Linked DNA regions of Caenorhabditis elegans. The protein of the gene in region 1 interacts with the protein of each later gene in a pairwise test. Each region holds a gene or a part of one and is shown on either strand. Other genes may lie near its edges.

Evidence for each region.
Region 2: the proteins of ufm-1 (region 1) and H35B03.1 interact in a two-hybrid assay, tested with the Caenorhabditis elegans proteins (one large-scale study listed by BioGRID).

What each region holds. Positions count from the first base shown.
Region 1 is NC_003281.10:7,855,021-7,860,012, reverse strand, and holds ufm-1 (Ubiquitin-fold modifier 1), read right to left. Parts: upstream 1,035-4,992; 5' UTR 1,033-1,034; coding exon 944-1,032; intron 874-943; coding exon 678-873; 3' UTR 501-677; downstream 1-500. Other genes in the region: tomm-7 (Mitochondrial import receptor subunit TOM7 homolog), read right to left, coding at 1-3, 263-400; coq-5 (2-methoxy-6-polyprenyl-1,4-benzoquinol methylase, mitochondrial), read left to right, coding at 1,557-1,725, 1,855-2,117, 2,164-2,589; tag-307 (ApaG domain-containing protein), read left to right, coding at 2,771-2,862, 2,907-2,991, 3,038-3,123, 3,172-3,324, 3,511-4,002, 4,053-4,173; rpl-35 (Large ribosomal subunit protein uL29), read right to left, coding at 4,439-4,579, 4,633-4,863. UniProt on the Caenorhabditis elegans protein: Ubiquitin-like modifier which can be covalently attached via an isopeptide bond to substrate proteins as a monomer or a lysine-linked polymer.
Region 2 is NC_003282.8:5,722,557-5,731,280, reverse strand, and holds H35B03.1 (START domain-containing protein), read right to left. Parts: upstream 5,682-8,724; 5' UTR 5,635-5,681; coding exon 5,529-5,634; intron 5,404-5,528; exon of another isoform or gene 5,378-5,403; intron 5,151-5,377; coding exon 5,077-5,150; intron 5,032-5,076; coding exon 4,898-5,031; intron 4,630-4,897; coding exon 4,521-4,629; intron 4,463-4,520; exon of another isoform or gene 4,442-4,462; intron 4,366-4,441; coding exon 4,038-4,365; intron 4,033-4,037; exon of another isoform or gene 4,012-4,032; intron 3,512-4,011; exon of another isoform or gene 3,362-3,511; intron 3,301-3,361; coding exon 3,197-3,300; intron 3,075-3,196; coding exon 2,744-3,074; intron 2,639-2,743; exon of another isoform or gene 2,618-2,638; intron 1,886-2,617; exon of another isoform or gene 1,865-1,885; intron 1,861-1,864; coding exon 1,718-1,860; 3' UTR 1,567-1,717; downstream 1-1,566. Other genes in the region: H35B03.2 (Ribonuclease P protein subunit p30), read left to right, coding at 1-274, 320-430, 485-589, 968-1,387, 1,438-1,479.

The DNA.
Region 1 (4,992 bases):
GATCTGAAATATGAATTCTTAAATCTTTGAATTGAAAGCATAGGTGTTTTTGGTAAAACTTAAACTTTTGACAAATAAATTAAAAAATAATTGGCAGCGTCTCGCATGCAATTGTTCTATTTACACAACGAGAAACTTGTAAAGAAAATGCGGTATCTATATAAATGTTTGAATCTTGTGTATTATGGGACGCATTTTTTATTTATTACGCTCTCTCGGAGACGTGATTTTAAAACTAAATGTTTCTTTTTCTAGTTTTTACCTGTCCATTTGGCATTGGCTCAGCGCCTTTCTTAAATCCAAGGTAGACCACAAACGGCACGAATCCCCATTGGATTGCAAATGTGGAAATATCGACTGTCTTACCGATGAAAGACTTGGTAGCTGGGGAGAGCTTCATCTTAAATAAAATAATATAAGACTAAAAGTAAAGTAGTTTTAAAAAAGTAAGATAAAATGCGGAAGAGCAACCAGTATTGATAAATTGATTGAACAAGTTTGAGAAAAAAGCTTCATAGCGTACTTTGGAAAGGGGAATTTCAATAAATTAATATTTAGAAGAATTTAGATATTCAAATCTGACTTAGCGAGTTTAGGATAGAAATGCACAGAGACATCACATTTTGTAAAAATAATTATGTCATAATACAGGAATGTAGACAACAATTGGCTTATGCTCAATGGCCGACGCGATCACGTGGAATCAGACGAAGTTCACTTCCGTGCTTCAAAAAAATGTTTCCGGCAGGTTGAGCTGGATTGACGCCAACTCCGTCGTTCGTAATGATTGCTGATGTAGCCGCAGGGACCTTGAATTCTTCAGCGGCAAACTTGAGAACGGCGGTGAATGGGGTACTTTCCGGCACGGAGAGGCTGAAAAATTAATGCATGACGCAAAACTCCAAATCAAAAGTAAACCGAAAATTTAAATATAAAAACTTACACCTTGAATGGGAGCTTCGGATCACTTGTTAGAGTGATTTTGAAGGTCACCTTGGAACCGGCAGTTGTTGCTGCTGTTCCACCCGACATTCCTGAAAATCTCTCGCATAAAATCAATAATAATCGTCCAGTTTGTTTGAAAAATTGTTTTTTAAAAAGTCGAACAAATTGATAAAGAAAAGGACATAACAGAAATGCACAAAATAACCTGAAAAACTGAAAAACAATAGGAGAGAAAAACTGGAAAAATGCCAAGTGTCTCTTACAAAACTCGGCCACTTGACGGAACCTAGGCCAGTGATGGCGTGATCAAGAACTATAATATAATTCAATTATTTTTCATATGTTAAAGTTCGAGTGAAATTTAAATGAAGATTGTAGTTCGAACGCTAGTATTTAGTGTACAAATACCACAAAAACGAGAAATACGTCTCTTCAAAATTCATTATGGAGTGATGGCCTAGGAATCTCCACGGGAAAATGCGGTAGAATATTTCTTGCAAGAACTTTCAGAGTATCGTGATTTTTATCACTTAATTTATCATTCAACTTCGCAATTAAGTTCTCAAAATTTTCTCATCTTTTGTCCGAATTAAAACTCATTTATTTTCAGAATGAAAGGAGCAACAAACTTATTTAAAAGCATGAGAAAACCTACGAACGTTGGAAATTTCCGGCAGTTTTCGGTGAATCAAGTCAATTCAGATAATAAACGGTCAGAGCCCGGAAAGAAAACACATTTTGGATTCACTGACGTTGATGAGGCAGAGAAGGAGCAGAAAGGTTAGCTGTTCGATTCAGAAACGTAAAAAAGCTGATAGCCACAAATAATAATCACAAAGTTCTCTACATAAAATAAGCCCTTTTCCAACACATCTATATAATTTACTGATACTATATGTCTTTTTTTAGTTCACCACGTCTTCGCAAACGTCGCGAAAAAGTACGATTTGATGAATGATGCAATGAGCATGGGAGTTCACCGATTATGGAAAGACTATTATGTTGGTGGCCTGCAAGTACCGTATAATGCGAAATGTCTGGATATGGCAGGAGGAACCGGGGATATCGCTTTCAGAATTCTCAGACATTCGCCTACCGCAAAAGTGACAGTTTCCGATATTAATCAACCAATGCTCGATGTTGGAAAAAAACGAGCGGAGAAGGAGAGAGATGTAATTGTTTTTGAAAAAATTCCATATCCTTAATGTATTACTTCAGATCCAACCATCTCGCGCGGAATGGGTATGCGCTAACGCCGAGCAAATGCCATTTGAGTCGAACACTTACGATCTGTTCACAATGTCCTTCGGAATCAGAAATTGTACACACCCTGAAAAGGTTGTTCGTGAAGCTTTTCGTGTACTCAAACCTGGAGGTCAACTTGCTATTTTGGAGTTCTCAGAAGTGAATTCTGCACTGAAACCAATTTACGATGCATACTCCTTCAATGTGATCCCGGTTCTTGGAGAAATTCTTGCCAGTGATCGTGCCAGTTATCAATATTTGGTTGAGAGTATTCGTAAATTCCCGAATCAAGACGAGTTTGCAAGAATAATTAGAGAAGAAGGCTTTAGTAATGTTCGATACGAGAATTTGACATTTGGAGTGTGCTCGATTCATAAGGGGATGAAACCAAGAAAATAATTTATTCCTGTTTGTTTGTTCTTTTTAAAATTTCATTTAATTCCATTTTTCTAGGTGATATTCAGTATTTTTCGTGTAGAATTTTTGCATAAATTTAATTAAAGTTGTTATATTTGTATTTCCTGACATCTATGATTCCGTGGTTTATTCCCGTTGTTACTCAAAAAATCTGAAAAAATTCATGTTTATTCCAACAATTTCAGATATGAAACTTCGAAGTGCTATTCAGCACAGTGTAAGAAACTTTTCCGCTGGGAAAGTCTTACTGTCAAGGTAATTTATAGATGATTTCAGACTCGATAATCATCATTTTTAAGATTCAGAAGCGCCACAACGCCAATATTGAAAGAAATTGGACTTCTCTTGCCATCAACTAATAAACCAACATTTGAAGCTGGACAAGTTGGTTGACTCAATCCAGTTATTTTGCAAAAATATTAAATTGCAGATTTTCATTCACAAAACATTTGCTTACAAAGGAGTCGTTGTTTGCTCTTTTCCATGTAGATTACATGAAAAAAGAAGTCAACAAAAGTAAGTAGCAATAAATTTCTGCTATTCTGATTTTAAATTTTTTTTTAGCGAAAAGCATCTTCTTACGCGTGATTTCTACCAAGTTCTCATTCATCGCTATGACTGGAGTCATATGGGATTCCCAGTAGATATTACATCGTATTTGGTAGATGCACCAATGGAGAATAAAAGACACGGACAAAAAATGTTGACTCTAATCAAGTACGGTGATTTTTGTAAATGAGATAATTAAAAAATATTATTGATTGGAACAATCCTCAACACCAACACCTTTTTTGAAAGCGACAAAATCAGTTTTCTAAAAAATCAAAATAAAAATATGATTTCGTATATTTTAAAGAAATTTTTTCATAATAAAAACTCCTTCAATTCAAAAATTATTTTCAGTGGTATGGACTGTGTCTCACATGAAGATATTATCCCATTTACTCCATCCGGAGGTGTCAATTTTGACCACGATCTCTTCGACCACATTTTCAACGCATCTCACGATGGCATTGGACTTTATGATATTGCAATGAAGCCAGAACTTGTTGAAAGATACACAAATCCAAACAGATCATGGCTTGGACCTCGTGACGTCTATCGGGAAAGAACTGAAAACATAGAAGTAACTGTGATGACTTTCTATCTTGGTGCCAATATGGTTGGTGGACAGCAGCAGCATATGTGGAGATATGTCATCAGGATCGAGAATAAAAAACCAGAAAACGGGGTGATTTTAAGAGAAAGAACACTCAAGGTATATTCATTAAACAATATGAATCAAATGCATGGACATGGTGTCGTGGGAAAGCAACCTGAATTGAACGCAGCAACTCCGGCTTTCCAATTCAGCAGTACACTTGAACTGAAACATACGAAAGGCGGACACATGTGGTAAGAAAAAAGTTTCGTTTATTTTGTCACGAATCATCACTATTTTTGAGGGGTCGTTTTAAAATGGAAAGGGAGAACGGCGTTCTTTTCGACGTTCACATTCCTACAATCGTTTTCGAGTCAACGGAAGAAATCAATGAAACTCCAATTGCAGCTCCGGACGCAGCTTAATCGATAAATAATTGTTTAAACGCTGACAGCAATGTACAAAAATTTTCTTCAGTTGTAGGAAAAATGACTATTGGTGTTTCTGGTGCCTTAACCCCTTGTTTGAACTTTAAATATTTTTGTGTATTTCCAGGTGAACTTAGATACAATCTTTCAATGAACTTTTTTTGATTTGTATGAATGTCAAAATTACTAACATAAGCAACAATTTTCATTGAAATTGAACCAGAACAATGTCCATGAATGGATAACAATGAATACAAGCCACTTAAGCCTTGACTGCGAACTTTCTGACGGCTTGATTGCGAGACTTAGCCTGTTGCTTGGCAGATCGGAGGGAAAGCTCGTGAGCGGTCAGTCTTCTGCGGATGGCGCGGGTCTTCTTGAGGCGAAGATCAATTGGCTTGTACTGAAAATAATTACACAAGTTATATATTTTTTTTAAATACACGGTTAACGAACCTTGTGGTCAGCGTAGAACTTGCGGAGCTCTTGCTTTTGGGTCTGGTTGATGACAGTCAAGAGTCTGGCGATGTTCTTGCGGACAACGCGAATCTTGGAGAGCTTAGAGGCAGCTCCTCCAGTGACCTTCGAGACACGGAGAGTGGCAAGCTCGGTCTTTTGCTCGTCGAGTTTCTTTTGAAGGGCATCCTTCTTCTCGCCGCGGAGAGACTTGCACTTCAGCTTGGTCATGACTACTGTGGTAACCCTGAATAATGAGATTGCTTAAAAATTATAAATTATTTGCAAAAAAATATTAAGAAAACAAGAGAATGGAAAAAATCTATTTTGAAATATATTAGAGCGGAAATATTTTCGACA
Region 2 (8,724 bases), on another chromosome or scaffold:
CATGCTTTGGACACCAGGAAGTCAGAATAATGTCGATGGGGAACCTCCGAAGAAAAAGAAAAAGAAACAACAACGAAAAGATGAGTTGGCAGATGGAATTGCTGGAATTTTAAAGAAAAAGCTGATCCCGCCACCGCATTACGTGGATGTCAGTCAATTGAATACTTCGGAACTCGAAAAACGTGGAAAAGTGTTCCGTCAATTCAGTAGAATTACATTTACTGCAAATGAGCAAGTAGTTATCAATAAAGTTTTCATTCACCCAACTATTTTGGTGAGTTTTTTTTTCTTATTCAGCATAAGAAAATAATTATTTCAGTCCTACGACATCGTTGCCGTTCGCCCGGGCGAGCCATCAGTACTTGACACACTTTCACGAAAAACTGAGCTTTTCGATATTATCACAATTGATCATTTGGAGGAAGAAAGGGTATTTTAGTGGAATTTCAATGGAAAAATTAAACTAAAACCTGTTTCTCTGCAGAGAAAATGGTTGTCAGTGTCGAAAGTGATGGATCGAATTCGAAACGATGGAGTTTTCTACGAAATTGCATATGCAGAGAGTTTGATGCCTGCCACACGGAAAAATGTGAGATTGGCCAAATATGTCGGTTCAAAAGATCGAAAAAAAAGAGCTTATTTTAGTCAAAATCCCGAATTTTGTCAACCTATCTGTGTCGCAGCACCAGGAATGTGATTTTTATTGAAATGTCATATTTTATTGCATTTTTTTTTCAATATTTTGTTAATCGAAGGATATTTAAAGCCGATAAGTCATTTTTAGGTACTTTTCGGCTTAAAATGTATCCTAATCACTACAAAAAGGCGAGAAAATCGATTAAAATATGCAATAAAAATTGATTTCCGACAGCTGCGACACGAAAAAGATGACAAAACGGAAGATCTTAGATTGAAATATTTAAAAATTTAAACTGTAATTTCCAATTCAAAAATTTCCTAATTCCAGACATTGTTCAACGGCCGAGTCCTGATCAGATCCCTAAAATCGAAGAACATAATCTTCTCATCCGGTGCTGAAACAATGCTTGATCTCCGTTCCCCAGTCGACGTGATGAATATGTCTCTTTTGTGGGGTGTTGCAAATAACGAAGCACGCAAAATGATTTCCGGTTTCCCGAAGAACCTTCTCCTTCAAGCGGAATGCCGTGGAACTGGAAATGGAGATGTTTGTTCGATGAAGTTGAGTGATGCAGAAAAATTGGCAGGAAATGGAGAAGAAGAAGAGCAGGATGGAGCTTCTGAAGAGAAGGTTGTTGTTGGAAAAGAAGAAGAAGCCGAGAAAGTGAAAGCTCCACCGATTGAAGTTAGAATGAATCATTCTCAATATCAGGCACTGCTACAGGCAACTAAAAATGCTAATGATATGGTAAGATTTGAAAGAAACGTGCATTCTAACAAACAAAATATTTTTTTCAGATGAAGAAAATAAAAGCATCGAAAGCAGCTTCATCGTCTTAATTTACTCTTTTTTGTTATCTATCCTTCCGTTCGTCGTTACTTTTGCCACTGTTTTTCATATTTATTCATTTTTCTGTTGTTGTTGTTCTCAGCCAATCGGTTTTTATTTTTTTAAATTCAAAATAAACAATTTAAAGAATAAACATGTTTTTTTAATTAAAGAGAATTGATTGTGTTTAAGGGATTTTTTTGTGAAGAAAAAGGAAAAATAAATATGTGATGTCTACAGTAATCTCGATCAAACTGCCAGCTGATCCATCGTCTGTTGAAGCATTTTGTCAATGAATGCGTCGACTGTTTTTGCTGATCCATCGTTCGAATTTCCATTGAGAATTGGAATTTCTGGAGTTGTAGGACCATCAGACATTAGCTTTATGGTTCCTGAAAAAGATAATATGTATTGCCAGCGAATTGACACATTTTTAGTTTTTTTCATGAAAGGAGTGAAACAGTGTTTTTTATTTATTTATTAATTTCGCAATTTATTGAAAATCATACTCAAAGGCGCACGGATCAATTTAAACGGGTCTCGCCACAAAAAATGTATTTATAATATTACCCAATTGCTGGATTTTCCGATATTTTCGCAAAAATACATATTTTGTTGAACTTTTCAAAAATTTTGGAAAATTTTTGAAAATAGAAAAAAATAGCAGAAAATGCAAAGAAAATACGCGGATACTGTAGCTGGAAAGTGTCGATCGTTTCGAGACCGGGTATCGTATTATAATCCAAATTACAGTTTAGTGCCTCGAAAATCGCAATATTTTTTTTGTGGTTCCAGTTTTTTTTGGGTTTTTGACACCTCATAAATTTCTGCAATTGTCAAGTTTTCTTGTAAATTGGGGTTTTGTAAATTACCCGAAATAGCCTGAAATTCAAAATATCACAAAAAACGAAAAACAAATAAAAGTCTAATTTTTTTTAATTTTGGCAAATTTCGATTTTAAAACTTCTCCCAAAATGAGAAGCCCTCTTTCCAACCAATCAGGTACACTTCATATGACTGGTTGAAAAGTGGGTGGAGAAAATCGCTGATTGGTTTTCTCTGAATTTGAATTTCAGAATATTTTGTGTATTTTAAACTCTACTCAAAATTTAAGTGCATTTTCAGGATAATGCGATTAAATTTTAATAATGTTTAAAGATTCTTTATCCAGCAATTTTACATTATTATTTTAATTTTTTATCATTATATTGAAACATTGAATTAATTTTCAGTTAAACTTTTTTTTGAAATACACCCAGTTCGCTCTTTGCTTACCAAAAGAAACTCGTCTTCCTCTATTATGTGGTGCAACTAAACCTCCAGGAGTCGGTGGCTCTGACATCAATGAAGGTGAAACTGAATCATTAACAGATTCTGGACGAGAAAATCTTGGTGATGGAGGATTCATTGATAAAAGACGTGAAAGTGATGGATATGTTCCATCGGGAAATATATGAGCAATATCCACATGATGTACATCTTCACCCACTCGGAATCCAACTTTATCGTATTTCAGAGCAGTTGAGCAGAATACTGTTGCATCGAACACACGAGCTTCGATTTCAGATGATTTGAAGAAGATCGAACCAAATGGGACAAATGAGATCTGAAATTAAAATATATAATGTTTCAAGTTGGACATTTAATTAATAGGTAACTATTTTGAAATATTTTTATCATCTCTTAGTATACTTTCAGTTTTCGACTTGCAATTTTTAGAATACTTACCGAGTACTGTAGATGTGGATGCTCCCCGAGTACTTGAAGTGCCTGTTTCAGCGAAACTGCAAGGTATGGCCAAATGAATCTAATCGGCCGATCGGCTTCATCTCCTGTAACAAATGATTTTTTTTTTTTCAAAATTACTGTTTCAGAATGTTTGTATATATATTTTTTTAAATTTTAATGTTGATTTTTCATGTACGTCACACACACTTTTGAAGACAAATTTGTTCAAAACGAATTATTTCTTTTGAAAATTTGAAAAAGGCTAAAATAAAACAATGAGTGTTCTTAATGGCGCCATTCCTGTAATTTTCCGACATATAATTCAATACATGTCCCGAAATTGCATAAAGAACCTCATTAAACTAGCATTTATGACAAAGAAAACAGCAAAATTTGGTGAAGCTGGAGGAAAATGCAGCTCAAAATTTGAAAAATAGATCGAAAAAGACTTGATTTCAAACTACAAACCGTTTAGATTTTTTTCAGCGAAAGGACAATTTCGGTATTTTAATTTTTTCTATGATGAACTTGATAGCTTACAAAATTCTGCCCAAAACACTAGTTTACGCAAAAAGAACATTCTAAAAGGGAAGAATTTGCTCGCTAATTCAAATTTTAAAGCATTTTTAATATGTTTTTTTTTCACATTGTTAACGAATTTTCCCGTTTTTCTTTAAATACCACAGTAAAAAATTAAATCTGTGCTATACTTTTATACTTTTAAGCATCCTCCCCACATCCACTACTTCTTCTTGAAGTCCAAAAATTACTGTTTCAAAATATTTATATACTTTCAAGTATTCTCGAATGCATACTTTGCCAGTAGATTTCTTGAACTTACCTTCCAACTCATCAACACAAATCCTTGCAGCCAGTTCAATTTGTGTATCATTGAATCTTTGAACATGCAATCGAACAGGATCACTTGTTAACAAAATGCCTCCTGTCCATTCATAAGATGTCTCGAAATGTGGTTTCAAGAGTCGACAAATCTCTCGGAATGACGAGTCGTCTGGTCCAGACAATGGAAAGTTTAATTGAGCAATAAACTGAATTTCTCCTTCCAATGGATCGGCTGTCCAATGGAGAACTGGTGGCTTATTTGTTATTTGTTCTTCGTCATCAGAAATCGTGCATGGTGTCACTTTGGCGAGCGCGTCGATTTGATTCTGTAATATTTTTTGGTTGTAAAATTTATACTGTTTCAGCATGTTATTTTAATGAATTTATTAATACGATCATTAGTTCTAACCGCCTCAAGAAATTTTTTCAGCATTATACATGTCTGCAAATTTTTAAATATTTCAACCAGTTTAGAACTTACTTTCAGATTATCATTTAGCGTGAGAAGACTATAATTGATGGCTGGAATGGTCCTCCATTCATTCAATTGTTCCAGTCGATCACTTTTCCATTCGTTATCAGGAAGCTTACTGTAATGGCTTTTAAAAATATTTTTCTGAAAATATCAAAGTTTCAAAAGTTTTTAACGATAGTTGGTTATATTTTTCATTTACGAAAAAAAACCCCATTTTAAAGAAAAAACTTCTGCGAATCGTTTCAAAAAAATCTGTTTCACAAAAAATATAATTTGAACATATATTTATGAAAAACAATAAGCGCTTCCTTCGCTTTTTTTCCCAATTCTAGAGATTTTGAAAAATCCAACTTCTTTATATATATATATAAATTCCAACTAACTTGACACGATCAATAGCAACTTGATTTAGATCATGAGCTCTTCTGTATTCAGTTTTCACAAGATCATCAAAGAATTTCTCATCATTTTCACTCCATTCCTGTTTTACAATGAATAGAGAAATACTCTTCTCCACCTGAAATTGAAATAATTTGAAATATCTGTTGAAGAGAAAACATACATTTGCAAGGAAATATCTGACTGCAAAACGGAGGTTGGCGTCACGAAGATCTTCAACTCCAACCACGATGTTTCCTGTAATTATTTTATTTTAAATTTCACTGTTTCAAAAAATATTTATCAAAGTTTTGATGTATCTTAAGAGTGCTTACAATTGAATTAAAATTATACAACTATAATTTTTTCATTAGAAGATTGAAATTTCTAATAGCATCATTTGAGGGAAAGAGTTGAACGACTTTACTGTATATTAACAGCTGTTTCAAAAAAATTTCAAAAGTGAACTTAAAACAAATAGAGAGTTCAGTTGTCTTTCGGTGTTATTAAAAAAGGTTCAGTTAAAATTTTAAAGCATTTTCGTGAATGTTAAAAATTAACTTTTCTTTACTTTTTTCTAATTGAAAATCATTGTTAACGAAATATTTTATGATTTAGGAATTTTCAATAACAAACCTGTGAATGGTGGTGGCCTGTACTCATCAAAAACTCTTTCCGGACTCAATTGCAGAATTCCAGCCAGCGAGTCCCGAAGGATTGAGTTATGAGCAATCGCGAACATCCTATCACTCCCAAGTTTCGATTATTGAAGATTTTGACTGATTTTCTCTGAAAATTAGAAATTTATATATGAACCTGGAAATAGAGAGACGGAAATTCATTTTTGAAAAGAAAAAAATATATCCAGACAGGTGAAAGATATATACATTTTTCGAAAAAAACACACAGAGCATGACAAGAATAGAGAGAAAAAGAGAAGCACGGGAAATGAGAAAAATTAAATTGAATTCCGATCCAGTAAACATTATTTTACTTCCTTTTGAATGTATGTTGGAAAAAGTGTAACACAAATATGTTTCTTGTGGTACTTAAATAAACCAAAACTGGCATTTTTTTTCCGTCTAATAAGAAGTACATATAATCAGAAAATTAAATTGACACAAAAAATTTTCACGTTCCTGTTTGTTACCTAAACTAAATTAATTTAAAAAACGGGTTTCCAAAAATAATTTTGCTGTTTCAGGAAGTTAGTTTTTTTTAAACAAATTTCCTTTATCGATTAATTTTCTAAACATCAATTAAAATAAACATCATACATCAATACATCAATACAAACTCCTCACACAAACGAGAAAAATTATCGAGGAAAATGTATTGCTCAAACTATTATTTTAAAACTTTTAATGTAGTGGGACACCCACAAAAATCTCCAAATACAAAAACGGACACACAATTTTCTAATGATTACAATATTTTCAATATGGTATTTTTTCTAGGATTTGGAATATCTGCTAAAACACACGAAATTATGTATTTTAAAAAACTTGTTTTCATGAGATTTCTCAGAAATTTCTCAAAACCTGCTATTTGGCTGTTCAAAAGTCCGAAAAAAAAATTATTAAATTTAGCTAAAATATTTCCAGAAAAATTAAATGATCACGAAATTTTCACATGTTCCTGGTTTTGTGAACTATAACTAATAATTTTAAAATACGGTTTCCAAATATAATTTTACTGTTTCAATAAAATTTTATAATTTTTCAAAACTTTGACTCAACAATTTTTAAACTTTATTTTGCATATTATAAGTGTTCAATATTCTGGAATAGTTTTTCAAATAATTATGTATTTCAGAAAATACTATCCCGAATTTTTCAATAAAACGTTTTTTATTTATTTGGTCTAAATAATTTAAGAAATTGATGAAAATGGAAAAAAAAATCAAAAATGAATCAGCTAGGATTTTGAGTGAAAAAGTATTTTATATGGTTTTTTTAGGTGATAATTCGAGTAAAATAAGCAATTGTATTACTGCAACATCTCTAACACATTCCAATTAATGGGACAATTAACATCAACTTGATTTTTTTTAACTCAAAAGTTTTCACATTTACATGAAACAGTTGTTCTTAAAACTTATTTTCCACACGTAAATTTGTGATCGAGGACGCCTTTTTTAACATTAAAATCCGGAAGTTCGAGTACTATGAACTATTTACAAAATGATTTAAAAGTTTCTTGAAACAGTAACTTTTAAAATAAAAGTATTTGGAAATTGGGGATAATTTTCAGACAAAAAATTATTTTTCCTAGATAAAGTTAAATATTAAACACACATATAAAAATGTATATATATATATCTAAAAACCAGACATGAATGTATAAATTCAGTTCAATTCTACTCATTTTCTCTTCAACTTTAACAAAACTCGGAGAGCTTCTCCTACTTTAACTCAAAAAAAGAAGAAGAAAAAGGAAAAACGAGAGCTCGTATCAACGCTAAACGCGGAAATTAATAGGCAGAGATAGACATACACGGAGGGCTTTTTGAAATACACAGAAAGAAGAAAGAGACGGAAATTTCTTGTTGCAATTTGGGAAGTTGTTGACATCGGGACGGATTGAGAGCTGAGCGTTGAAAAAGAAGATAGGAACAGAATATTGTAGTGTGTTCCCACTGATTTTGACCCCCCAAACAAACTTTATTATGTTTTTGGAGCTTATGGTCAGTTAGAGCCTATACGTCTGTTCTGAAACTTACAAATATAATAACAGAGAGAGTGGACAAAACTGTTAAGAGTGGCGCAATCAGCTTTTTAAAAAAAATTGAAAACTTGTTCACACAGGTAAAATGAGTTCAAAAATTGTGATTTTGAGAGGCGATTCAAAATTTCAGGAATTTAGTTGCGGTTTTTTTTTTCACTGTGAGAAAAATGGTATTTAAAAAATTCTGCAGTTTCATAAAGTTGTTAAAAACATGTGCCAAGAAGACTCACCATTCGAATGCATACAGTCCAAAAACTAATTGAAATTTAAATTTTTTAAATTTTTTTAAAAAATTACTCAACATCTTCAAACACCATAATATGGTTTCACAGAAAAACAAGCATGAGGCAGGAACTGTGAAGGCGCGCCTACCTATATATTGTTAGTTTTTTCTAGAAAAAAGTCAAAATTAGAGAAATTTCTCAAAAACTACTTTTTCAAATTGAAAAAACAACACTTCTCGTCCAAACCGAAAATGTTAACAATTTTTGAGATTTCACTGTTTCAGCAAAAATATTTATGCTAATTTTAAATCAATACTTTGATAAAAAAGTTCAAGTAGGGAAACAATTATTTCGCGACTACAATGTCTTGAAATATATACTCTCCAAGTCCTTTAATGAAGGGTGTGAGTAAACGGAAAAGAAGATGAAAAGAAATGAAAATTGTTGTGAATAGATGACGGAAATCTGAAAATTGTGAAGTGGGAGGGAGGGAGTGCAATGACCAAGAGAGAGTGTTAGAATTGTGTGAAAATAATTGGGTTCGCCAGAGATTATTCATAAAGGGCAGTTATTTATAATTAGATTTTGCAATTTTTGGAAGTTAACTGAAAAAGAAAAGTTTACAAAAGCTTTATATCAGGTTTATAGACGCGTTTTCTGTGGCCAAAACAAGTCAGAGAATATTTTAACAAAAAAAATTTACTGTTACAAAAATATTTCTTGAATCTTGGGAAATAATACATAATAATATGAAGAGTAGCTTAGCTCTTTAATGCGAAAAAAATAATGCTCGTTTTTACTAACCATTGTTGAATAAGTGTCTATCTCGGAAGTTATTTTTAAACATTTTTAAATTGATATGTTGTACAAAAAAATTGAAA